7 linked regions of the Solanum lycopersicum genome follow. The protein of the gene in region 3 interacts with the protein of the main gene of each other region in a pairwise test. Links are inferred from orthologs where the notes say so. Each region holds a gene or a part of one and is shown on either strand. Other genes may lie near its edges.

Evidence for each region.
Region 1: the proteins of protein BREVIS RADIX (region 3) and probable WRKY transcription factor 12 interact in binary tests that used the Arabidopsis thaliana proteins (3 or more experiments, as listed by UniProt). The link is inferred for Solanum lycopersicum from reciprocal best matches to the Arabidopsis thaliana genes BRX and WRKY12.
Region 2: the proteins of protein BREVIS RADIX (region 3) and protein SENSITIVE TO PROTON RHIZOTOXICITY 2 interact in binary tests that used the Arabidopsis thaliana proteins (3 or more experiments, as listed by UniProt). The link is inferred for Solanum lycopersicum from reciprocal best matches to the Arabidopsis thaliana genes BRX and AT5G22890.
Region 4: the proteins of protein BREVIS RADIX (region 3) and histone deacetylase HDT1 interact in binary tests that used the Arabidopsis thaliana proteins (3 or more experiments, as listed by UniProt). The link is inferred for Solanum lycopersicum from reciprocal best matches to the Arabidopsis thaliana genes BRX and HD2C.
Region 5: the proteins of protein BREVIS RADIX (region 3) and serine/threonine-protein kinase D6PK interact in binary tests that used the Arabidopsis thaliana proteins (3 or more experiments, as listed by UniProt). The link is inferred for Solanum lycopersicum from reciprocal best matches to the Arabidopsis thaliana genes BRX and ATPK7.
Region 6: the proteins of protein BREVIS RADIX (region 3) and RING-H2 finger protein interact in binary tests that used the Arabidopsis thaliana proteins (3 or more experiments, as listed by UniProt). The link is inferred for Solanum lycopersicum from reciprocal best matches to the Arabidopsis thaliana genes BRX and AT1G49850.
Region 7: the proteins of protein BREVIS RADIX (region 3) and XRN4 interact in binary tests that used the Arabidopsis thaliana proteins (3 or more experiments, as listed by UniProt). The link is inferred for Solanum lycopersicum from reciprocal best matches to the Arabidopsis thaliana genes BRX and XRN4.

Annotation. Positions count from the first base shown.
Region 1 is NC_090800.1:79,427,830-79,432,017, forward strand, and holds the start of probable WRKY transcription factor 12, read right to left. Parts: upstream 2,801-4,188; 5' UTR 2,573-2,800; coding exon 2,261-2,572; intron 2,142-2,260; coding exon 2,068-2,141; intron 1,118-2,067; coding exon 956-1,117; intron 1-955. UniProt on the Arabidopsis thaliana protein: Transcription factor. Interacts specifically with the W box (5'-(T)TGAC[CT]-3'), a frequently occurring elicitor-responsive cis-acting element.
Region 2 is NC_090810.1:57,597,878-57,600,953, reverse strand, and holds protein SENSITIVE TO PROTON RHIZOTOXICITY 2, read right to left. Parts: upstream 1,944-3,076; coding exon 789-1,943; 3' UTR 501-788; downstream 1-500. UniProt on the Arabidopsis thaliana protein: Probable transcription factor. Together with STOP1, plays a critical role in tolerance to major stress factors in acid soils such as proton H(+) and aluminum ion Al(3+). Required for the expression of genes in response to acidic stress (e.g.
Region 3 is NC_090807.1:62,143,750-62,145,963, forward strand, and holds the end of protein BREVIS RADIX, read right to left. Parts: intron 1,820-2,214; coding exon 1,690-1,819; intron 1,332-1,689; coding exon 1,027-1,331; intron 904-1,026; coding exon 825-903; 3' UTR 501-824; downstream 1-500. UniProt on the Arabidopsis thaliana protein: Acts as a regulator of cell proliferation and elongation in the root and shoot. Regulates roots architecture and primary root protophloem differentiation.
Region 4 is NC_090809.1:63,872,713-63,876,764, forward strand, and holds the start of histone deacetylase HDT1, read right to left. Parts: upstream 2,801-4,052; 5' UTR 2,657-2,800; coding exon 2,644-2,656; intron 1,464-2,643; coding exon 1,393-1,463; intron 1,288-1,392; coding exon 1,070-1,287; intron 921-1,069; coding exon 892-920; intron 810-891; coding exon 771-809; intron 692-770; coding exon 543-691; intron 1-542. UniProt on the Arabidopsis thaliana protein: Probably mediates the deacetylation of lysine residues on the N-terminal part of the core histones (H2A, H2B, H3 and H4).
Region 5 is NC_090801.1:70,586,936-70,591,071, forward strand, and holds the start of serine/threonine-protein kinase D6PK, read left to right. Parts: upstream 1-1,336; 5' UTR 1,337-2,041; intron 2,042-2,467; 5' UTR 2,468-2,488; coding exon 2,489-3,504; intron 3,505-4,136. UniProt on the Arabidopsis thaliana protein: Protein kinase that regulates the auxin transport activity of PIN auxin efflux facilitators by direct phosphorylation. D6PK-mediated PIN phosphorylation promotes auxin transport in the hypocotyl and this is a prerequisite for PHOT1-dependent hypocotyl bending.
Region 6 is NC_090800.1:90,933,205-90,937,394, reverse strand, and holds the start of RING-H2 finger protein, read right to left. Parts: upstream 2,801-4,190; 5' UTR 2,752-2,800; exon of another isoform or gene 2,663-2,751; 5' UTR 2,619-2,662; coding exon 2,379-2,618; intron 707-2,378; coding exon 513-706; intron 1-512. UniProt on the Arabidopsis thaliana protein: Probable E3 ubiquitin-protein ligase that may possess E3 ubiquitin ligase activity in vitro.
Region 7 is NC_090803.1:40,188,037-40,192,252, forward strand, and holds the start of XRN4 (protein ETHYLENE-INSENSITIVE5), read right to left. Parts: upstream 2,801-4,216; 5' UTR 2,535-2,800; intron 2,154-2,534; 5' UTR 2,116-2,153; coding exon 1,924-2,115; intron 1-1,923.

The sequences.
Region 1 (4,188 bases), on a different chromosome or scaffold from region 3:
TTTAATATGTATATATATTCATTGAGATCTTAATATAAGTATATTGTATAAACAAAATTATTAAATTCAATTGATATGGACTTTTGGGAAACACGATTTGGATTTATAATTCATAAAATTATAATTCATTCAATTTATTTATGTTTAAACATGTTAATAGTTTCTTTTTCTATTCATTGGATTTGTTTTCACTCACTTAGTAAATTCATTTTAAAATTAGGCTAGCTTGTCATTTAAATTGACCTATAACAAATCTTATCTAAATATTTTTTTAAAAAAATAATTTTTTATTTGATTTATTTATATAGTCATAATATTAGGAGGAAAACTTAATAGGTGCTCACTAGTCATAAGAAAACTAACTTTGAATTTAAAATAATAAGAATCGAGCCATAAGTTGGGTTATGACTCAACTTTTAGATTATTTTAGCTCAAACAATATTTATGTGGATAAATGACCTATCTATTTATTAACTAAATTTGATTAGCGTTCTTAAACCTAATCCAACTGGCCTATTTAACGTTTCTAATCACAGAGGAAGATAAAATAGTACTCATTGCTAACAGTATCACACATTCTTTTAATGATGCATAGCAAGTATTTATAATATTTTTGTTTTTAACCAAAAAATAAATTCAGATTCTTTTTGTCTTAATTTTTACGATACAGTTTAAATTTGGATCGATGAACTTTTTTTTATTTTGATTGTACATTTTAGACATACAATTATAATGTTTTTGAAAAGTAAATTTATATATTATGAAACTATATAATAAGTATCCATTTAAAATATCTCAATGGCATATAAATAATTCACGGTTGTCAAAATTGACTTTAGAAAAAGAAGAATAAATTGTGGTAAAAGATTTTCATATTTTAACTTTCGAAATCTAAAGTTGTCATATAAATTAAGACAGATGTACAGACTCTGAGTACTTGATTATGATTAGGTACCTGGGATGAAGGCTATTCTTGACAACTTTCTGACCATATTTTCTCCATTTATATCCATCATCAAGAACATCAATGTCACTCCTTGTTTGGAAACAAAATCTTGGTTCTCTTAGCTTTCTTCTTATCTTCACTTTTCCTTTGTCTGAAGATGAACTCTTCCACCTTACATAATTTAGAAATGAAATAATGTTGCTTGCTAGTAAAATGATAAATTGATGAACTTATATGACAACAATATAAATTTATATATACTTGTGCTAGCAAAATAAATTAAACAAGTCTTATCATATGTGAGTTGAATTTTATCATGATGTGGGTACAAATATATTTATAGTTGAGCATTATAATATGTATAGTGGATCTAGTTAGCACTTGTCCTTCTCAAAAATGCACAACACCCTAGCTCCACACCACATATTATATAGTACAAACCATAGTATTTATATACATACACACACTTTGAAATAGTGTCATTATTAAAGAGCAAGAGAGACATTTCAAGAAAACATGATAGCAAAAATCTATCTGCATGAATGCCTTGGTAGATCTCTTTTCAGGTTTTAATGTAAATCATTGAGAAGCTTCTAGATAGGTAGTACTACTAAATAGTGGAGTTGAAAATAAAAGTTGAAGACTTTTTTTTCCTTCAAAGTCTTTGTCGGAAACTCATTAGTCCGATTAATTTTGATATTCGTAATGAAAAATTCATAATCTGACTAACTTCAATTTACCCTCGTTTAATTAAATCGCACTATAAAAGTGCTCTATATTAGGAAGAGAAAATCATTCCCAAAGAGTCTAAACTCTAATTAAGTGTGATAAAAATTCTATTGTTCCACTATATGTTACGCTTCGATCTAATTATTTCTTAGATTATATAATGGAATAAATTAAACATAAAATAGAGAGATTAATAATTTTTAAAAAGAAATTGAAGAAGAAGAAGAAATTAAGATATTTAATCAAAACGTTTCCCCTTTTGTGAAAACCAAAATAAATCAAAATGTTAGAAGAAATAAAACATAACAAGCCGCAATTCATAGCGCGAGAATCGATGTAACATTTTTTTGAAAATAAATTAGTAAAAACGTTATAGAGAAATAAAATAATACCATGAATTGTTACCCTCACTGGCATTACCGCTGCAATTTTCGTCATTAATACCCTTGGGATCTAGTGTTTCCACCTACACGTAAAATTTAAAAAAAAAAACGAAGAAATTATTACGAAAGAAAATCGAGAAACCCTAACGCTTTTGCTACGTTATCTTTCACCAGCACAGATATACGAATCATTCGAATTTACCTGTTCGTTGTTGTTCCAAGAAGGTCTATTCACAAGTAATTGACTGTGACTAAACCCTAGACCACCAGCACCAGCAGCAGCAGCAGCGTTTGTATTGACGGCGGCAGATGGCGTAACACTTACGCTGGCGGCGGCGGCAGCTTGAAGAGAGTGAGAAGATTGTGACGAAGGAGGTAAGAAGGTTAAGTTGTTATGATCTGCAAAGTGTATAAATCCCAATTCATGATGAATATTATTTGTTGCTGCTGCGGCTGAGGATATTTGTAAATTATAATTGTTTAACTGATTTCTTTCTTCACTGCCCCTTTCCATTAATTCCTCTCACTTTTTTTTTCTTCTTCTAATATTCCAAACTACTTTTTCTTCTTTTGAACAATTACTTGTTGTTGTTGTTGATGGTGAATTAATTATTGAGGGATCGGATGTATTTTGTGAATTGCATGTATTCGTACTCCGTGTGGGGTTTCATTTTCAAGTAGAATGATGTTTTTTTTTTCTTTCACCAACATATATTGGAAATGGAAATATATATATATATATATATATATATATATATATATATTTATATATTTGGTCAACTGGTAAACGCTATAAGGAATGTAAGATCAAATATTATATATTCCCTCCGTCCCTATTTATATTTCATTTTATATTTGATTTCTATTTACTTGTCTATTTTAACAGATCAAGAAAGAACAAGAATTTTTTACCTAATATGTCCTTATTTAATTTTAGAAAATTTCTATTACTATTTTTATTACTATTAAGTTGTAATGCATACTTTTTGGAACCAGAAAATACGTTACATAATTTTTTAAATTAACGATAAAATTATAACTAACCTATGATAATAATTGATGCCTTAATATGTCCATCACTTCTAAAGTGGACAACTAAATGAGAACAGAGGGAGTATATATATATATGTGGAAAAAAATATTGTCACGGACAATTTTCTTCCAGAAGGGTTGATTTTTTGGGTTAAAGTTTAAAAAGTTTTTTTAGAAAAAAAAAGAATTTTGAAAATTATTATTTAAAATAAAGTCAGAATAATTGTGTCATTGTGTAATGTGTTTGGTACTTGGAAATAATTTACATAAGAAAATGATTTAGTGTTTTGTAAGTAAAAAAATATCATAAAAAATATTTAGATGTAATTTACTTTCATTAAGGAAGTCATTATCGTGAATGGGGTGGAATGGTCAAGGGGTAGGGAGTTGGGGAATTGGGAGGATGGGGAACATATAATAAACGTAGAATATTATTCATAGAACTTATTTTTTCTATTATCATTAAGGAAGTCATTTTCATAATTTTTAAGCAATTTGATTTCTAAAAGAAAATGTTTTTAAAAAAATTTGTCTAACCAAACATATGAAAATAAGAAAATGGTTTGTGGAAAATGTTATCTTAGATACCAAATAGATTTAAATTATTTCATTTGAATTAAAATAAATATTTAAATTAAATTGATACTAAATATAAAATGGATACTATCTTTTGTGACCTACTAGAAAAGAAAGTACATGAGGTAAATTAAAACCAAGAAAATAATAATACAATAATTGAGTCCACAAATTAATTTTCTATAGATGTTTAATTGATGAATTGTTTTAATACGTATATAAAATCTAAAAGGGAAAATTAGTGGATACACGTAAATGTAAAATTAGCATAATCCAAAAATATCGTGTTTGTGCCATGTATGGTGCAATATCCAATTCTGATTTCTGGGCATACCTCTTAATGAGTAAAAATACTCATGTTCAATTTTTAATATCAAGACAATAGATGTATAATATTTTCCAATAGAAATGTTTCACTCAATCATCATTAAGGAATATATATTCACAGTTTTTCTAAGTTATTTAGTTCTACGATAAATTTATTATAATAAAGAAAATTATTAATGACAATTAAAAATTAAT
Region 2 (3,076 bases), on a different chromosome or scaffold from region 3:
TAAGATATGTAGCAAAATTTATCTTTTATATCTATTTAGCAAAATTTACGATGTGTCATTTCTATAGCCTTATTATGGTTTTAGTTATAAAGTGTTCATATGTGGTAATATTTTAATCTGAATTCAAGTCTCACAAATATCTTTTATCATATCGAAAATACATATATAATATTATAAAGCTATACGTTACTGTTATTAATCATATTTCACAAGGTAGAATATGTCTTTCAAGCTACACACATTTTTCAACTTCATCAAAGCACTTCAATACAAAAGAAATTAAAATTAAAAAGGTACATAACAGAACAACTAATAAGTGAATAAATATTGAAACATTTACCAAGTTAAATTCAACATGGCACCAAAGCATATAGAGATTTTAGATTCAAAGTTTTATCTTCACTGTTCATTAGAATACGCAACTAGGTAGGGTTGCAATATAAGTTTAATATACAAAGTTATTATACTATATTTCTCATATTTCACAAGGGCATGATATATTTTTCAAGCTAGGATAATTAATTTTCACATTGATTCATCAAATTACAAGCACATCAACATTTTGCAACAAAAAATAGGTGCATTACAATTACAAATCAATTAAGTAAATTATAAAATCTACTAGCTAGTTAGCTCATATGAGCTGAGGATCTTTCGTAAACAATCTCTTTACCCCAGGGGTTAAAGATAGTATATGACATGTGTATGCTCTACCCTCGTCAAGCATAAGTACTCGTAGAACTACTCTGATATATGTTATCGACTTATCGTTGTTGTTGTTGCACTAGCTATCTTGCACTTTGTTTTATAAGTGGAGTGTGTCCAACAAATAAAGATACATGCCCCATAAGCTTATCTTTTCTTGAAAAAGTAGTACCACATGAACATTGCCATTTCAAATCACCACAATGTTTCTCATGAGTTCTAAGATCAGACAAAACAGAGAAACTCTTCTTGTTGCATCTCTTACACACATACATTTTAGGACAATGGCTTCTCTTGTAATGATTCTTCACACACACCATTGATTTCAATGGTTGAAACTTCGCGTGCTTCTTGTTCCACCTACAACCTTCTTGAGGACACGAATATTTAATCGTGTTACTACTTGATTTCAACGATCCATCACTCGTTAAATCGTTGATTCTCTTCATAGGATTACTCAATGCAGCACTAGATTTATATTCATCTCCATGAGCCCTCATATGCATTCTCAAATTTGCATCTCTTTTAAACCCTTTACCACAAATTTGACAATAGTGTGTATACTTTGCCAATAAATCAGATGCATCTAACTCAACAATATCATAATTATTTTCTTCATTCACAACTTTACCTTTTGAAGTACTCAATAATAATTCCTTTTTTCCAAATTCTTTACTATAGTAATTATCATGACTAATAGTACTACTAGCTATAATAGTACTACTACTAGTAACATGGTTTTTGTTATCTTCATGTGTGTTACAATTAGAATTGTAATTATCCACATACCAATCATAATCTTGTAGCAAATGATCAACTTGACCTTGACCTTGACCATGACCAACATCATTTTGAGATGGTTCGCGATATCTACTTGAATTTTGACTGAGTGAGGTAGAGTCGAGGACAATCTTTTGGCAAGAAAACATGAGGGAAGAAGAAGTTGTGATGATTTCTTGGATCAAAGTTCCCATATTCGCGATGATCATAGATATTGACTCAGGAGGAGGGTGAATAATCGTTTGATTATCCGGAGTAATGAACATGGTGGCAAGTGATTGAACTTGATGAACCTTCTCTTTGAGAAGAGATAAGTTGAATAAAAATGAATTTTGTTGATAAGAAGAAGAAGAAGAAGAAAATATATCTTCTTGAATATTATTATTAGGATGATGATTTGATGAATATAATGGTATGTTTTGTGGATTATTAGCACTACTACTTGTACCTTGAATCATTTTCAAGAAACCCTAAATTTTCTCTTAGAAAAAACACACACACACACTTTTTTTTCTTCAAAATTTTTGATCATATAACAAGGGGAAGAAAATAATGTAATTTTTTTTTTCTTTTTGTGACGTTTTGGTAATGAAAAAAATAATAAGTCAGAAAGAAATAGTGATATAAATGTAAGTCAACTTTGAGATTCAAATCATATGAAGTACCACTTAAGACCTCCCTCAAATACTACCATAGTCTTACATTAAGACAAAATTATTGTGAAAGGTGAAAGAGAAATTTTATAATCATATGTAAGGACATTAACTTTTTTTTTTTAATTTGATATTTGATATTTGTATTGGAGTCTGACTAAATCTGAATATACGTTTTGCAGTGTTCATTAATTATATATGGAGGTGGTGCTTCTAACGAAATTTTCTATCCCAAATTCAAACGTAAGGATTAAGAACAGAGAGATCTCAATCATTTCATCACCATAACGACCATGTTGGTAGAGACACAAACTTGTACATATTTAATTGTTATTTTTATAACATGTTTGGACATCAATTATGTGTTTGGTTTTATTAAAAAGATATATATATTTTTGTTCAAAGTATTAGTGTCAACCTTAGCTTCACGCATGAATTTGCAATTTTAATTAAAAGAGATTTATTTATTAAAATAGATATTATACTGACCATTTCCACATTTGTATTAATTATATTTGGGATTTAGGGCTGTCATATTTTTGGTTAAATTAAGTCAATCTTTTGGGAATGAAGAATCTAACCACAAAATGTCACTTTATTTAGGTAGGGATTATTGACATTTTTTTTAATGTGTTGTAATATTTTATGTCATAAGCAATATATCGATTAATACTTACTCGTATCGTATTGACTAATTACATTAAATTCATATAATTTATAATTTGGTTATTAGTGATTTAATAAAGTGCGTGTGCATATGAAAAATTTACCTAAATACACATTTTGTTTTACTATAATCTTTAAAATTTCTACCATTTAAAAAAAAATTCCCTGTCAATACATCAATCTTCTCCGATACTTTTCTCACCATGTATATATTCAGATGTCTGCTGATGTATCCGAAAGTTCAAAAATTTATCGGGATGTCCTATCTCCTC
Region 3 (2,214 bases):
GAAAAGATTATGTTATTATGACAGGCCAAGCTTGCTTGCTGAAGTTGCAGCTGCATCATGTCTTTTCATCAATAAAACATGGAATTTCAACTCTAAGATGGGTCTTTGCCCCTATTGCATAAACGTTTGATAAGTATACCAAGTGCCCCTTCACTAATGAAGTAGATCTACTACTGCTTGGCTCTTACCAAACATAAAGAATTCTCTCTAATATGCTAAGCTTAAACCTCAATGATCCTTTCATTAGCAATTTAAACTTAATAAATCCCTTAACTAAAAGGTTGGGATACTTGAAAAGGCGGGGCTTTCTACTTAATACTGGGCAAGGATAAGCCTTGAGACATGGGCCTTGAACTTCCATTCTGTCCTTTAGTCTTTCTCCGGTTTGGAATTCATTGCATAAAAGATAGACAATGGACAACCACATTATTATCAATTGAGAGTCGATAAATGCCAGTGAGCTATAGATATTGACAATAGTAATGCTGAAAAGCAGTATGTTTTGCATCATCTAGCATTTGGTTCAACTAAATTTTTAGAAAGATTATGTTACAAGGAAAACAACTTGAAACCTTTAAAGGAATTCATGAGAGAATTTGCAAGATCATGTATAACTAGAGATCAAGAAATGCCATGAAAATTGCTAAATGGCCAAAAGTGATTTTGTTCGGTAGAATGGAGCCATTCTATCTGAACTAATATAAATACTTTTAATATAAGTATCTTGTAATGATCTCTGTTTCAGCTTCATCACATCCAAGAGGCAAAAATTTTCCCTTTTCCATGGAATAATTCTTTTGTTCTGTGGATAGAAATTTGTTGATTTAAAGGTATTGAGATTGTATTCTCTCTCTGTTCTGTTCCCACCACAGCTTTGCGTGCACCTCCCCGAACTTCTCCCGACTGTATGAATGTAGAGAAAGTTGTAAGAAAATGTCCAAAATGAATACAAATTTCAGCAAAATAGGTGCTCAGCCTTTTCAATCATGTCTTGAGTTCATTTACACAGTTGAGATTTTGAAATACCTGAATCTTACACGTCGTAGCTCTCTAGTGCCATCAACTAGTTGTCTGATGGTTATATACACACCAGGCTCATCTTGTTCTATCCATTCTGACTCCATTTCACTGGCATTACTTACAGAAAGTGAAGCTTCATCCCTAGAGTCTGTAGTTGTCCTTGACGCATCCATATATGACATATCCCCCTTTGGTAAACCAGTTGATCCAGATGGTTTATGGTAATTGCTTGGTGGCCAGTCCTTATTTGTTGCAGGGGTCATCATAGGGCTTTCTATCGCGGATCCAAGCCTCGAATAATTGGAATCTCTCTGAAGAAAAGAATCTCAGGTATATCAATCTCCAATCTATTATTTCCTTTAGATCTTTAAGCTATTATAATTGATCCTTTATCGAACTTGATGAGTTTAGAGTCGTTTGAATCAAGTAAATTTAGTGCTGTTATTGATTTTTAGGGCACAGAAGTATAACTTCTTGCTGGTAAAAAATAGAAGATGACTTGATGAGTAGAGCTGGCTAATTACTTGATCAGGGTAACAAGCTCATGAAGGGGAAACCGGTTAGCTAAATACAAAGTATTTCGGTAAATTTAGCAGATAACTGAGTTAATGTAAATCAAAGGAGAAAGAAAATTGTTATGCTTAGACAAATCAAATCTAACTGACTTACTCCGTCCTCAGACCTTCCAGGTGTGTTAAGAGCTTGTTTGTTGAATCTCTGAACATTGTAGAGCTCCATAATTCGGTCATAATTCTCACCCCACCATCTTTGAGCTTGCCATTTGTTGAACATATCCCGACTTCAAAAGAACCCAGGGATATTTATTGTCAGGACCATCAAAGGGTGTTTCAATAAGATACACATAACACTGATATTTTCAATAAGGATAGGAATAATACAGATAGCAAGTGGACAATTTGACAGCTTATCGGGCCACCTAGAAAGCTACATAACACGGATACTTTCAATAAAATAGGTCATCATTTCAGATGGCATTCAAAACACATCAACTAAGTAATAAGAATGGCACATGTAGTAAGTAAGATAATTGAAGGCTCAGTACTAAACAAGTGAAATATTTTAGTAGACATGACTCTTGAGGGAATAAAGAAAGGGGAAACTCAATAAGAATTCATGAATGAATGAAAGGGACTAAACATTGGCCTAGGATAAGATTAGGCAAAGAAGCTTTCA
Region 4 (4,052 bases), on a different chromosome or scaffold from region 3:
TGGTAACTCAATTTGACAATTCCATTTCGGCCTATATTTCTAGAACCAAATAGTATCTGTTATTGGCTACTCAAAAGTATGTTTAGTAGTAAGCAAAGATATTAAAAATCAATTTCATCCATTAATTTTTACCGGGACAAAAGCCCCTAAAATACTTAAGAGTTCAGTGATATCCTTAACAAACAATTGTGTTGCATCACCCTTATCAAAAGAAAATTCTCATCAAAAATTTGTTTTCCAAGATCAATTCTTTTAAAACCAGACCTACACTGTGTTCTGAATACCAAATGCAAATCATATCCTTCCGAAAAATCTTTAAGAGTTCATATCTTGATGAACACTCAAGTACCACAGGTTGAAAAACATATTTAAACAATTTGGTTGGAAATTGTTGAACAAGCTCAAACTGGTTTTTTTTTATGAAGTAACAAACTCAAATTGATTTTTGTTGCTTACCCAGACATTTAAAAAACCTTTTATTGATAAACATATGTTATAACAATACTATAAAGCATTGAGCATAAATTAGATGATAAGCATACCTCCCCCATCATAGAATCATCTTCATCCGCAGACTCATCAGTGCTCTCATCTTGATCTTCCGCCTTGTCAACTTTAGTAAACTCTATAACCCTCACCTTCTGCTTAGTTGAAGCAGAATCCTTTGCACTAGCCTTGGCTTCAGTCTTTCCTGTTAAACAGGTAGGCAATACTTTAGAACTAAGAAATAGCAGATCAAAGACACAAGTATATAATAAAATTTTATGTACCATTGTTTGCAATTGAAAGGGGTATTTCCTCATCAGACTCTGCACACAATAAAATATCAATTAAATCTTCGCCTAATTCATCACAGCTTAAATATGCTCAAACAGAAAATTTTGTGCTTACCATCTTCAACTTCATCTACATCCTCCTCAGTATCACACACAATTGTAGTCAAGGAAACAAAAAGAACTTGAAAAGTTCACCTCTTTTAAATGGAAAGGAAGGGAGCAGTAGAAACTAGAAAGATAGGAAAGTTCATGTGAACAAAAGATAGAAGATAACAAACAACAGAAAAGGATATTCCTCGAATGGGTTGGCAGCCTTGTATCCAAAAAAGTAGACGCTACCATTTTTCCAGTTGTGTGATAGTTCAAAGTCTCTATCAAAAACCAGGTCAAATTGTTGTTGAGGCAGCTTATCTAAGCTGAGTGTGCCAAGAACAAGCTTCTTGCCATCAATAGTTACAGACAAGCATACAGGTTCTGATGCTTTATCCTTTTTCACCTCACCAAGAGATGCCTAAAAAAAAGAATACATTGATAAAAATACTAAAAAGAGATGCCAACAAGGTATTTGGCTATTGCAAATATTTGCCTATCAAATTCAAGTGACAACTTAACACACCTGTGAAAGATGCAAAACCATGTCATCTCCCGGCTGTACAGATAAAGGTTGTCCACTTTTCACCTCCGCACCTAAATGTAAGAAAATTTAAAACAACTGCCAAATATTATTCCAATATAAAGTGGGCATCAAACACACTAATACACAATGGATGAAAAATCAACAGCCGAGCACACATAACAGAAACGATATTTTTTACAAGACAATTATTACAAAATAGTTTAGGCACAAAAGTACATTCAAATTGTATATGAGACCCAACAGAACTTCTGACGCATGGGTTCTTGAGCTATAATAATATCCAAAAGACATGTGGTCATCAAAGTAAAGCATATGAAGGTAACTCCAAATATTAAAATTAGAAATTGAGCCTTTATCACATCAAACACTTGAAAAATCATTTCCGCGGTTCCAAGTAAATCCCTGATTCTGAAAGAGCTAAATCAAATACCCTACTCTACTCTCCTATACAGAGGAACAGAAAATGAACACAAAGAGTGATGAGAGAATCTATGGCCAGTTGGAAACACTACAGAGCCATTTTTTAACTGTCAACACTAAAGAACCATATCCAAAGCAGAGTGTAATCGTATATAGGCAGCATTGCACTTCAACACAAACATTTTCTAGTTATTTCCCTCTCACTCTCTAGTCTCTACCATGGCAATGCTGAAAAATACATTGTCTGGGATTCTGTCACAAAACAGTACAACAACAACAACAATGTACCAAGTGTAATCACACAAGTAGGGTACGGGAAGGATGGTGAGCAGCATTATCACTACCTTGTGCACAAAGAGAGGCTGCTTCGATAAATACATCTATCATAACAATAACATAACTAGAGTGTACGCAGACCTTAACCAACAACTAAGAAGTAACCAACAACTAAGAAGGTAGAGACGTTGTTTCCAATAACTACAGCTATCACAAAACAGTAAATAACAAAAACAAAATGAAACATAACTTAAGTTTGATCTCAAATTGACGAGCTGTGAAATTTGCATACATGTGTACAAATTCAGGCATTCAGTCATAATATACTGCAGACGTGTTTGATCAGAATCACATAAACATCGAAATCATAATAAACAATGAAAATTGAAACAGCGAAATAAATAAGCAATAAATACAGCATGTAACACCACGAAACAAAACATTTAACAAACAGTCATCGAGCAATACAGATTATCAAAACAATCAAATGATAAACAGAGAAAAACCAAATAGATTGAAATACAGATAATTTACCCCAAAATTCCATTGCTGATTACGCAGAAGATAGGAGAAACAAACTAGGGTTTTAGTAGAGAGCGAGCAATGGAAGCAAATTTTTAGGTTTGCAAGCGGGAGAATTGAGAGAGAGAGGGGCTATTATATACTATGTTTATTGTTTCCCATGCTACCCTCGTGTGCATTATTGGTATATTAATACTGCTCATTTGAAAAAAAAAATATTATAGTAAAATAAAATTGTGTTTGTATACGTATAATTTAAAAAATTGTTAGAAATTTGACAATTTTAAAATTGGATCAAAAATCAAATATTTGAATGTATAAAATTTTAGATATATTGCATATGTTTTGATTGTTCTATCACAATGTACAAAATTATTAGGAGATCATTGATTATGTCGATATTATCTAATGATTTATTGTGAATATATTTAAATTTTAGTATAAGAAAATATGTTTAAAGCCTAAAAAAATCTATTTATAAAATGATGCAAATTAATTGTCCGGTATATTGTTAATTTAAAATATAACTTTAGTTACTATATTTTTAAAATGACATTGAAACAGTAGTCATGCATCAATCCAATCTAGAAAGTATATTGTTAAAATCAATAATTCTAACACATTTAATAGTTATATAGTCTTTTTTAATAAAGATAAAACTTCAAGCAGTATTGTATGAGAAGACACATTTAATAGTTATAGTCTTTTTTTCTAAAAGATAAAACTTCAAGCAATATTGTATAAGAAGATAAATCTCGTATAACTCAATGCATGAGATGAAGTTAAAAAATAAAACAGAAACATTATGAGCAAAATATAAAAAACCTACAAAAATTAAATAAAATAGTATTTAAAAAAAATGTGTGTAAAAAGTTGAAATATACGATAATTTCATATGGTGAGTGTATGCTAAACAAGATAATTAGGTTGGTATAATATGAAGTTATATAAATTTATCATGCTTTATAATTTAAAATCATGTCGATTCGATATAATATGAAATTCTATTATCTAAAATAATATTTGTGTCACATTTATAAAAAAAAAGTTTGTTGCTTGTAACATTGAAATCATAAAAAATTATATAAATTGTGAATACTCACTCCAACAAGACAATTATTGTGAATATAACACAAAATCAAGTCAATCTTAATTGTTATTGTTTACAAATTTTAAATTCGGTTTCTATTATTAATATCAATAAACTTTAAAAATTTTCTCATTAAAAAGTCATTAAATTTTAAAATATCAATTTCCTCCAAATATTAAAATCAAAAATAATATTTAAATTTTAATTTTAATAACATCACATAAGTACCAATCACCCCAACAAATTTAACATCTTTAAAATTTTATTTATTCTGAATAAAGAGACGATATAAATTATTTAGGCCAAATAAGATTAAAAAAAAACTTGATAG
Region 5 (4,136 bases), on a different chromosome or scaffold from region 3:
TGAAGATACTTGTTTTAGTAGTTATTTTTTATGCTGATATTACAAGGCAAGAATGTGCAATTTTTCAAAAGAGAAGTAAAGCATAAAGGAAAAAATCCCACTAATAGTTAAAAGTCTACCCAATTAAAAACTATCATTCTAATAAAGTTGGAATTTATCCAATCTTGAAAATATATAAATGGCATTTAGGACGAGGGTAAAAAGTACTATTTTATTTTTGAATTTTAAATTTTATAATCAAGTGATAAACGATTAAAGCTCAATTATCCTGAGATATTAGTCTGATTACAGTTAATATATGTATAAAAAATATGCATCGTAAGATTATACAATTTTTTTAAAAATAATTCAAACTTCAATTTCAATTATATTAGCGATAGAAATTAAATCATAATCTAAAAGGATTTCCTTCGAATATAATTCAAATAAGGGGAAAAGGTGATGAATATGGATTATTAAAAGTTTAAAAGTATATAACAAAGCCAATAAATGTTACTTAGTAGCTTGTTTACACACGTTATTCGTAGCTTGGAAATATGCACAACTAAGTAGCTTCCTTTGAATTGCTTTGACCTTCAAGCAACACAAGTCAAACACGTCATTACTGAGAGATGATTTGATACGAGAATTAAATTATTTTAGACCAATTTATTTCATTGAGATCGGTATTAATTCATTTTGAAATTATTATAGTTATTTAGTTGTATAAATTTATTTCGCTATTTTTTATCTTATTTCGCGTACAAAACAACCTCTAACTCCTAATATTACATCCTCCGTTCATGTTTGACTTGATAAAATGTTGATAATGAATTAAAATACGTAAAAATAAAAGTAAAATATGCATAAAATATAAATTATTTTTTAAACTGAATAATTAAAAATAAATAAATATTTTTAACTTAATAATTGACATATAAATACGGATGATTCAATTTGAAGAAACAGTTGCTCTGATATTCATCAGAATTTTGTCACCTTTTTTTATTTTTATTTTAAAATTAAATGACATATGTTATTATAGTATTAAAAGATTAAGATTGAGTATGATTTCTTTTTTAAAATAGCCTTTACTAAAACTTAAGTTTCATAACAAATATGTCATATAATGTCAAAACTTGGAGCAATATGCAAAAATGTGATAAACAACTATTCTTGGGACAGTTTTTTTTGTACGTATATATATATTTTCAAGTCTCTTTATTCATCTTATCTTATCATATTATTGATTGATTGATAAACAATAATTGAAGTGATTCTATTTTTTCCATTGGCACATATGGTTTCAATTGGGTAACGTACCTGGAATTTATTGTATATTTCAAATTAGAATTTTGAATTTTTAAAATCGCAACCTATTTAATGAAAACATGCTTTTTCACTTGTATGAAATTCAGAGGCTCTGTCACACTCAAAATATTTGCAGAAAACAAAAAAATCAGCAGTAATAATAAATTCAATTTAATAATTAAAAAATAATTACTATTTTATAAATATCATATATTATCAATAATTAAAAGTAAGTATTAACAAAAATAGCAGTAAAATATTAATATTATAAGTTATAATAGTCAATGATTAAAAACTAGTGTATATTATTACTGTGCATTTAATAAAATAAATAAGACAAATAAATTGAAACGAAATAATATTTTGTTTTTTGTTTTCGTAGTTTACCGAAGAAAAGAAGCAGCGTATATGATTACAATATAAGCGTTTACAAAAACAAGAAAAGGTGAAGATGAAGGAGAAAACAGAGTAAAATATAGAAAGAGAAAGAGAGAGAAAATCTTATGTATCAATTTCTTGACTAAGCTCTATTCTATTTCATTTGTTTGTTGTGAGTTTTGTTTGATTGATTCATTTACTCTGTTTGTATCCAAATATAATAATTAGTCACTCACTCTTTTTATTGTTACGATCGGATCTGAAAAAGGGAGAGGACCCAGAAAGAAAAAGGTGCAAAGCTGTTACCCTTTTTAAGTGGAAAGGGTCTCAATAATCATGGCACATCATTCATTTTTCTCCATTTGATAATCAGGTGATTTCAACAACCTATTACTCTCTCTGTCCACTTTTTTTTTTTTTGATTTATTTGTGGATATACATCTTTTCATTGATCCTTTTGGTGGAATTCTATGATCATTTAATTCTGTGATTTTACTGCAATTCTATGTAAAGTTTTGTAATCAATGCTACATTATGAGATGACCGAATCAATTTATGGTAAAATTATTCAAAATTTAGTTGAAAATTGTGAAATTTGAAAAAAAAAGTATTTAATTTTGTTTTCAAAATGGAAATTGGAGTTATATATGACCATGATATTGGTATTTTTCAAAAGTTGAATTTCGGATTTAAAGCCAAAAATGATCTCCAGAATTCAACTCCGGGAAAGAGTAAAAAGTATTCATGGTCAAACTGTTAAGTAGCTAATTTTTCTTCACTTTTAATTGTGTAATGACAGTGTTTATACCAAAAAATTACAATGGAGTCTCTTGTTGATGGAATCAGTTCCTTGCCGAACGTTCACAATTCATTCGCTGCGGTTGAGTGCAATACATCTTTGGCCTCCAAGATAAGTCATCCTCCTTTGATGAAACAATCCGAAAACAAAGAGGCATCTATCTCATATCCAATAGCGATGGACCTTGGTTCCACCGTAGCTCATACTCAAACTGGATCAGTGACTGGTTCAAAGCATTTTAAAGCAAATGAAGATACTGTAAATCAATCAGCAGAAGGTTGTTCAGGAGAACAGGTTTTGGCTTTGGAAACTGAATCATCTATCAAGGATTTACATCATGTTTCGAAAAATGGTACTTCAAACGATGATTTGAATGCGACTGCCAAAGACTCAGGAATCACCTACTGTCCTAGTCCTCAAAACAGTTTTTATTCTGCTACACAGTACACAGAAGCCAAACAAAGTTTTTCCAACACAGAAGTCAGTGAATGCGCTAGCAGCACTGTGGACAAGTCTGGTGAAAGTGGTGATGTTAGCAACTCTTGTGATCTTGTTGAGAGCAGAAAAACAAGCTTCTACAGAGGCAGCACAGGTAGTGACGTTAGTGATGAAAGCAGCTCTAGTAGTTTCAATAGCACAGTATATAAACCACATAAGGCAAATGATACAAGGTGGGATGCAATACAAGTTATTAGAGCCCGTGAGGGAACATTGGGTTTTAACCACTTTAGACTGTTGAAGAGATTGGGATGTGGTGATATAGGAAGTGTTTTTCTAGCAGAGTTGATTGGCACAAGATGTTTCTTTGCCATGAAAGTGATGGACAAGGCAGCTCTAGAAAGTCGCAAGAAACTCGTGAGAGCTCAAACGGAAAGAGAGATACTGCAGTCTCTGGATCATCCCTTTCTACCAACACTGTATTCGCACTTTGAAACAGATAAATTTTCGTGCTTGGTGATGGAATTCTGCCCTGGTGGAGATTTGCATGCACTTAGGCAAAAGCAGCCAGGAAAATTCTTCCCGGAGCATGCTGCCAGGTTAGTGTTTGTCCGCATATCATATTCACCTCTTTGCTTTGTGTTCAAAATATCCAACTATCGCTGCGATCTTAATGAATAAAGAACTTTTAACATTGCTTCCTGTATAAACCAATCTGTTACCATCATCGTTATGCTTTAAGTGTCTTAAAAGTTCATAATAGTGGAAATGACTTTAATCTATTATGCAAGGAAGATCCTGTGCATATATGCCTTCTTCTAACTGTCTCACCTCTTTAGGCATTGCGCTCAAACAATGATGAGTGAGATCCACTGCTCTGTGCTTATAGCTGTTGACTTTTTTTCCCCAGCTGTTTATTAGATCCGTATCTGTATGTTTGCCTTGATATCTCTTCAATTAAACATGTTGCTTATTTCCTAGCCTTTTGTAATTTTTCTCAACATTGAGTTCAGACCTTTCTTGTTGTGTGCAGTCCCAGTAGCAAATATTGTTTTCCAGTTGCATGCTCGTATTCATCACTGTCATTTGGAAACTGACTGGTATAATGTTCTAAAATTTTGTTAGCTGGGGCCAAGGGAATTGAATATAACCGAGTAGTTTGTTTCGTAGGAACCAAAGATAAGTCCATTCAGATAGACTTGAGACGTTACATCTACCGTAATCAATGATA
Region 6 (4,190 bases), on a different chromosome or scaffold from region 3:
AGAATTTTAATCATATTGTAATAACCACCAGAGCAACTTACGAAGACTAGTGAGATATCATGCTAACAAGAAAACCATAATAGAAAACATAAGACTTGTAAGACTGCTGGGAAATTGACATCCTAAAACATGTCGTTTAACTTCTACAATGAGGAGGACCATAGAGGAGGAAGGGTCAGCAAAATCAACTAAACTTCTTACAAACCACTCAACAATGTATAGGAGCAACATATCTTAATAATCCTATGATGAAAGTCCATTCACTACAGGAAACTAACATATCCAGTAATTTTCATCTAAACATATGTTCATTTTAATCAGACAGCTCAAAGTTCATCAAGACCAAGCAATTTCATGTATGCTTCATCAGAAATTTACCCACTTAGAAATGTACTCTTACCCATCTCCGTATTTATTTAATCGAAGGAATTGTGGACATGCAATATCATAAACTACAATGGCCTGCCAAGAGAAGCTCATACTATTGGGTATAATGGATTCAAAATACCAACCTATTTCCAGATATAGATACACCTCTCAATCTCTGTAGAAGTCTTTCCCTTGCAAGTAGTACAGTACCAGGGAGCCGCTCGCTACCTGAGGTTCCCACCCTATCTCGTATCCTGTTATTGTTGTTTGTTGCATGATTGGTGTCTCCTGATGCAGCCTGGCTATTCGCAGAGTCGAGCGAAACAGAATCACGATCCTAACTTGTGAAAAAGGACCAAAATAATTAGCATCAATGTTTCAGGTCACCATCAAAGAATTGAAATCGACCAGAAAAACTAGGTGTTAAGAATTTATAACTCACATCCTACGACATTTTTGACCATCAAATCAGCAATATATGACACTAAACACGAAGCAATGAAATGTAACAACAAAAATGAATGAGCTAAATAAAAGTAATCTATCAATCGATTACAAGAGCACCAAGTACATGCTTGTACCATCTTATAAGTGAACATCAAAGCTGATTAATAAATTGTTTGAGGGGGGACGTAAAGATGTATCACATACATAGAGAAGTACATGCAGCACTATATTAAATATACAGGAGTCATACTTTAAGCACCTTATAATCAGGGTAATCCAGAATACAATGGCCAACACTTGGGCTAGGAAACAACCATTGTCTCGGAAATTCATACAGCTAAACCACACCGGGGCTGGCAAAAGTAAGCTGTCACAACACATTTGCTCGACTCATGCAACAGGGGACTTAATCTCAAAATGGCACACCACATGGCAATAATGACCTCAAAATATTGCCACCAATGGCAGGAATTAATTGGGAATGGAGCAAATCTCTTTTGTGATAACTAATGATGAAAAAAGATCCATATAAGACATATTTGAGATTTCAGCCTAATTGTTGAGTATTATTTTTGGTAGGTTCAAAAAATTAGAAGAAGTAACTATGAAATTGCACAAAAGCTTTATCATTATCGATACATTTACGGCATATCCCATGTTTGCCAGGATTTGTTTTAGCATGACTAGAGATTTGTATGTAGTGTAACGATAAGAATGAAAATAGAACCCTTAACTTTCTTACAAGCCAGACTACTGAGTACTACTAAGCGACGGACTCAAAGCAGATGCATAGAACTGCCCAACTCTAACTAGTTTGTATTTAATGTAGTTGATTGGTTTACTGATAAATAGCAAAAGAACAGGCAATAATTAACCAGGAAACAGAACAAACTTCTTATCATGATCAGTAGAGGAAAGTTAGTATTTTAATGGCATTGTACATAGTCCATACTAATACGGGAACAGGTGCAGATATATATGCCAGCCAAATAAGACTCTAACATTTACAGCAAGAAAATGTTGGATTAACGTAATGCAAGACTAATAATCAAGAACAACAAATCCAGATAATGTTATCCTGCAACCCACAAGTCCATCATCCATATAATCATCATAGGTGTTGAGTGTGATAAGGCAGGTACTATGTCAATTAAACGTCCATATCTGATTGTGGCACAATCTAAAAGATTCGTAAGTCTCCCGTTTGAAAAAATATTGTAGTATTATACAAGAATGCTGTGAACCAATTTATATTACTATCTACATTCACTACCCCTGTATCATATTTCATGTTTTCATCCTTTCCTTGCTTTAACTAACCCAGGCAAGAAATTATAGCTATAAAATGACAATCGGAAAATAAAAAAGGAAAGAATCCAGTGAAATGACAATTGGATTCAGCTAATTAACAATTCTAGTATTTAATATATGCATGTTGATCAATGTGACTCAAAAGCTTGAATATAATATGCCAGCACAACACAACAGATAAAGCAGCACCTAATTTTTTAATATTATCATTCTACAGTCTACACACCAAAAAAAAAAATCCAAAATCTTACAGGAGGCCAACGTCTAAGGCGGTGAGGAGGAGATCGGCGCAAGGGCTCACAATCGTTCACATCGACGCGATCACGGCGGGTATTATTGCCGGTTGGCTGGTGACTGTGATGATGATGGCGGCGATTACGAACGCTGTGGTTGTGAGAATTTCGAATTGTCGATAAATCCGACCCTAATTCGAGATCGCTTCGACCGTAACGAGACCTCCTAGTGAAAAATAGCTCTGAAGCACTCGTCATACAATTACAATAAGGTTTCTTCTAGTCTACCACCTTGCAATGCTCTGAGAATGATGGATATATATATACATACACAAAAAAAATTCACCAGTTATAGGATATTCCATTGAAACAGACAAGAAAAATCTCATACCTTAGGAAGAACCAGCGAAATGAGGAGGAAGAAGCAGATCAAGCGAGTCGGTCTAATTCGGTTACTAAATTGGTCATATGGATGATGCGAAAAAATAAATAAATGGGCTGGGCCTTCCTTACATCATTGACTCATGAGCCCAATGTGTTTATTTGAATTTAAATCAAACTAATAACCTAAATTAAATGGAATAGCTATGGTTTGATTTAATTGTGCTCCATAGCAAACATTAGCTAAAATTTGTCAGCATCTCTCTTCCAAAAATCTCGCTCGCCACTCTCCATTCTCGCTCGCCTCTCTCGCTTTATACACAGAAGTGTATAATTTTGTTTCTGTTTTGTATAAAGCGAGAGAAAATAGTATATACACATGCAAAAATGTATATCTTCGTGTTATACACTTAATATATAATTTACAAACATTTTACTTCAAATATTGCAGAGAAAAAGGCCAACGAATTATACAATTGCAGTGAAATACAATTTTCTCTAGCTTTATACAACAGAAGTGTATATATTGTGTTTGTGTTTTTGTATAAAGCGAGAAAAACATATATCTTCTTGCTATACACTTATAATTATGCAATATACATACATTTTAATTCGATTCAACCGTATGCAAAATAAATTATACAATTGCAGCGAAATAGGACAGCGAATTATACAATTTAGGCCAGCGAATTATGCAATTTAGGCCAGCGAATTATACAATTGTATATGTATAGCAAATTAAACAGTTTTATGTTTGCTATGTAGCGCAATTATGCAAAGTTTGCTATAGCATACAAATATGAATTTTTTGTTTGCTATATGTGAAAGTTGCCCTTATTAGTATATACTTTAATCTTAGAAAAACTATCTAATTAAAAAAAAAATCCTACTATAAAAACTTATTCACTCTATAATTTGAAATAATTACATATTGTCTAGAAATTAATAATTCCATATTTAGTTTCAAGACAGATAGACCACTCCTTTAGATTTCAAGTCAGATATATATGTACCAAAAGAAACATGTATCATTAAATCACACACAAATATGTATAAAATAATCATATATATATATATATATATATATATATATATAATATATATATATATATATATATAATACAAATATATATGAGGGAGACAAACAAGAGAGAAGAGACTTGAGCGAGAGAGTTAACATGTATATTTGATACCAAATACATTTTGAAATACAGATACACAAAAAGAGAGGCGAGTGAGGAGACATTATAGCCTAGATACATGTGAATCATGTTTAAATGCAGTGCATAATTATACCTATTTTGACTCACATGTATTTGAGGTATCTGTATCTTTCGAAATAAATATAGTATGAAAGGTAATTTCAAAAATTAAAGTGAAGGCATATAATACAATCCTAAACTAGTGAAATTTGTATTATTTGCTCTTTAATCTTTAGTACTAAAAGGT
Region 7 (4,216 bases), on a different chromosome or scaffold from region 3:
ACCTCTAAATCATTTCGTAATTTTTTGAGACATCTTCAAACTCTATGGGAAGATGTAATTTTTTTGGATCTCCATGTTTCAGTCGTACACTCTGGACCTCTATCTCTAAATTATTTCCTCATTTTTCAAGACGTCTTCAAACTCTTTGGAAAGATGTAGTCTTTGGAGTAACTCATCCTCTAATCTCAACTCATAAGGCTTTTCAAAATCTGATAATTGATATAGAGTTTGTTTGGATTAACTTTTGATTTTTGACTTGTAAGCCAGAAGTCACAAGTTAGAAATTCTAACTTATGGGTTTTGGCTTATTTTTATCATTTTAGCATAAAACCAAGTGCTTATAAGCACTTTTTCAATACACCTAAAACACTCCAAACATGCTTAAAAGTTATTTTGGCATAAAAGCACTTAAAATAAGCTTAATCCAAACAAGCTCTAACAATTTCCTTCTTCCTTTGGTTCCAATTATTTTTATACTCCAGTTTCCATTCCTTTAGCTTCCCTTGAGCTTTCTCATCTTGGAAGCTAGGACCAGTGCTATTGAAAGATGCCCACCATTCTTTAACTATCTAAGAAACCTTCCACCCTAAGAAACCTTCCACCCTAAACCACCATTGTTCAAACTTGAAGTAAGATTGCTTTAAATTTAAATCTCCAAATTCAACTATAATTGGATTGTAGTCTAAACCTACTGTGGGAAGTAGGCTTTGTATAATCTGTGTGAAGGTATCATCCCATGGGGAAGAGAACATGAACCTACCAATTTCGGAGGTTGACATGGGATTGTCCCCTCTTCACTGTGTAAAGGACCCCCCAAATAAAGAAGGGCCAATGAACTCCATCTCATTGTTCCACTTGGAGAATTCAATCATTGAGTCATTACGTGCCCTTCTGGTCTTTTCATATGGGTATCTTTTGGCATTGACATCCCCACAAGCTATCCAAGGCCCAATACTCTCTTCTTTGATGTTGATTGACCCTTTCCAAAGTTCTCTTCTAATTATTGGATCACAAGAGGCATACACAACTAAAAGAAACCTGATTAATGCCTTCAAACTTGCAGGCTACCATTGGTTTGTTTCTATCACCTCCTTTCCACACCATCTTATCCCACATTACTACAATACCCCCACTTCTACCTATAAAAATAACATGAATTCCCCCAATCATCTATTTTGCCATAATTATTTGAATACATTCACCTATGATCCTGTCAGTTTTGGTGGATGCCTCCACCAGAACATAATTCAGCTCCCATCGCTGATATCTCCTGATTACCCCCTTTTTATCTTCCCCAGCCCCCTCCCCCCCCCCCCAAACAAAACCTAACATTAGGATTTTGACTTTCAGCTAGAAAAATCCAACCTTAAAGAATGAAAGTGTACTTAAAGTGATCCAGTATGGTCCTTTGAATTTGAGTGACATTTTCCAATAACCTTCCAATAGAAACAAAAGTCCTCCAAGAGGAAAGAGGAAACAAGCAGGTCCTTCTGTTATTTCTCCTATCCCAAACCCTACATACTTAGGCAGGAGAAAAGAAGATTGAATCTGGATGACAGTTTACTGGTCCAAAATTTACTCAATTGAATGATCTTAATTAGTTTTGACAAGTACAGCACAAAGGGGAGTGTTCTTGTAATGACATGGACAGCTGTCCAAATAACATTATTTTATAGCTTACTCAAAGCTTCTAATGTAGATACTATGACTAACATATATACTCATTATCCTTCATTAAAAGTAAGTTAAACAAATTACAGTCACAAAAGAATAACATCCTTTTAACATAGAAAAGCTATATAAGTACTAACAAATTACATGTCAAACAACTGAAACATGCATTGTGCATAAGCGTGATGAATTTGGTATATCAAATACCAAATAAATTCATAGGAGAACTTTCAAAAAGAAATACTTGTTCACCTTTCCTTCAGGATGAAAACAAGGATGAATGATGCCATTCATGTCCAAGTACAAGTTATCAAATTCCATGCCATTAGGGTTTGGCTTTGAAATATCCACCGGAACATCATCTTTAGGCTCTTCCTCTACCATGTCCACAATTGAGAGTGGGTATCGATCAGCCAACCACCTATAAAATGCTGGAACTCCCATTTTGTCTGATTAGCTCAACTTCAGTCAATTAAAACTACCTGTTAAAAATATTGAACAGTAACAAAAAATTTGATCAACAAGTGAGCATCTTTCTGGTCAACTTTAAATTCTTCACATCAATTTAAAGCTTTGCAAACCAACATTTTATCTGAACAACAGGTTACAGAAATCAAAATATTTTACTGATTGAACTAGAATTAGTCAAAAGGTAAGATTTTTGTTTAAAAAAAAAAACACGTACAAGCAACATAGAGCTAACTCTTCTTCTGATAAAAAAATAATAGCAAACACCCATGTTTTCCAACTTGTAATAATAAGAGCAAAAAAGTACAAATACATAAGCATGGAAGTTATAGTCTTAAAAAATGAAAAGAAACCGAGAAAACCAAATGAATTTAAGCAACAAAAACTAAGTGCACCTGAAGGGGTTTTAGAACTTCACAATTCACCTCAAAAACCGATCAATCTGGACATAAATAGGGTCATAAAAATGCAATTTGAGAAGAGACAGAGAAGGGCAGATTTTAAGGAAAAGTGAAATCAATTTCAGAAAGCTCAACAAATCGCCACAACAGCTATGAATCAGTTTGGCTTTTCCTCTCCTCTCCTCTCCTCTCCTCTCGTCTCCTCTTCTCTTCTCTTCTCTTCTCCGTATGGAACTCTTTGTTTGCCTTCACTTCTCTTTTTCTTCCCTTTTCTCTTCGGGAGGTATAAATAAAAATACATTTAATCCATATTATTATTATTATTATTATTATTATTATATAATAAAATAATTAAATATAACATTCTATAATATTATACCATATTAGGGAAACAACTCGCGTGAACCCAATTATGAATGCATTATAAGTTGTAAGACTACTTGGTTGTGTTAAATATAATTTCTGTCCTAATCAATATGTATCAATATTAATTGTATTGTCAATTTCTTTGTTAGTAGTAATATGTTTTGTAGCACATAATTTGTTTTTTGTACCATGCCGCAGATGTACATTTGTATGTAATTCATCATTCTAATACATTATTGTAATTGATATGGGATGGTTTCTATAGTAATTATGTGTATCAAGTATTTCATTAACATAAATGACATTATATGTCTTCTCTTTATATAATCAAGTTTTGCTATTGTAACATAAAATCATTTAGTTCTTTTCATAACGTGTATAATACGTTATTATTAAAAATACATAACATTGTATATCATTTTTGTCTATGTATATACTAGTCGGGGTAAGGTTAAAATAGTATCCACTGTGATTCGTGCCATAATTTTTATTAGAAATGTTCCTCGTTTATACCATTATTTAGAGTATGTTTGGCTCAGCTTAAAAGTTGGTCAAACTGACTTAAAAGCTGGTTTTTGACTTATTTAGTTGTTTGGCAATACTCAAAATAACTTATTTTAAGTTTTAAAAAAAAACTTATTTTAAGCCAAAAGTTAAAAGTTGGGGTAGGGTTTTTTTTAGTTTATAAGCTGTTTTAAGTTAACCATATTTTTACCTTTTTGTCCTTATTATTTTTATACAATCTCCAAATTACCCACATAACCCTAACATATCTTTCTTCCATTTTTCCCTTTTCTTCTATTTTTCCCTTTTCACGCTTGGCAGCTGCTGAACTTCTTCCTCTTCTTCCAATTTGAAGTGAAGATAAACCTTGAAGTAAGTTTTTTCGATTATTTTTTTATTAGCTTTCTTCCTTTTCTCTCGAATGATGCCGATAATATGTTGAAAAATCGAAATCAACTGAAAAAATTCTCGATTTATGCCGATAATGTTTTTTGATTTGCTTCATTTACTCACTTTTGGCGTGTGGTTTGTCATACATATGATTTCTGAGAAATGGAGCTGAAAAATTCTGTTTTGTGTTTTTGTTATCATGTATTTTTTTCCTGTGTATTGATTTTTACAATGACCAAGTCACACCCATGAAAGGAAAAAACCCCACCAAGCTTGCCTCACTATAAAAGCACCCAATTTGTCAATAACTGTACTTTCTGAGAATTTGAAGAAATTTTCAGGAAAAAAAAAGTAAACCCTGAATTGGAAGTTTACCTTGAAGAAATGTGAGAATCAAGAAGGGTTTCTTTGAGATA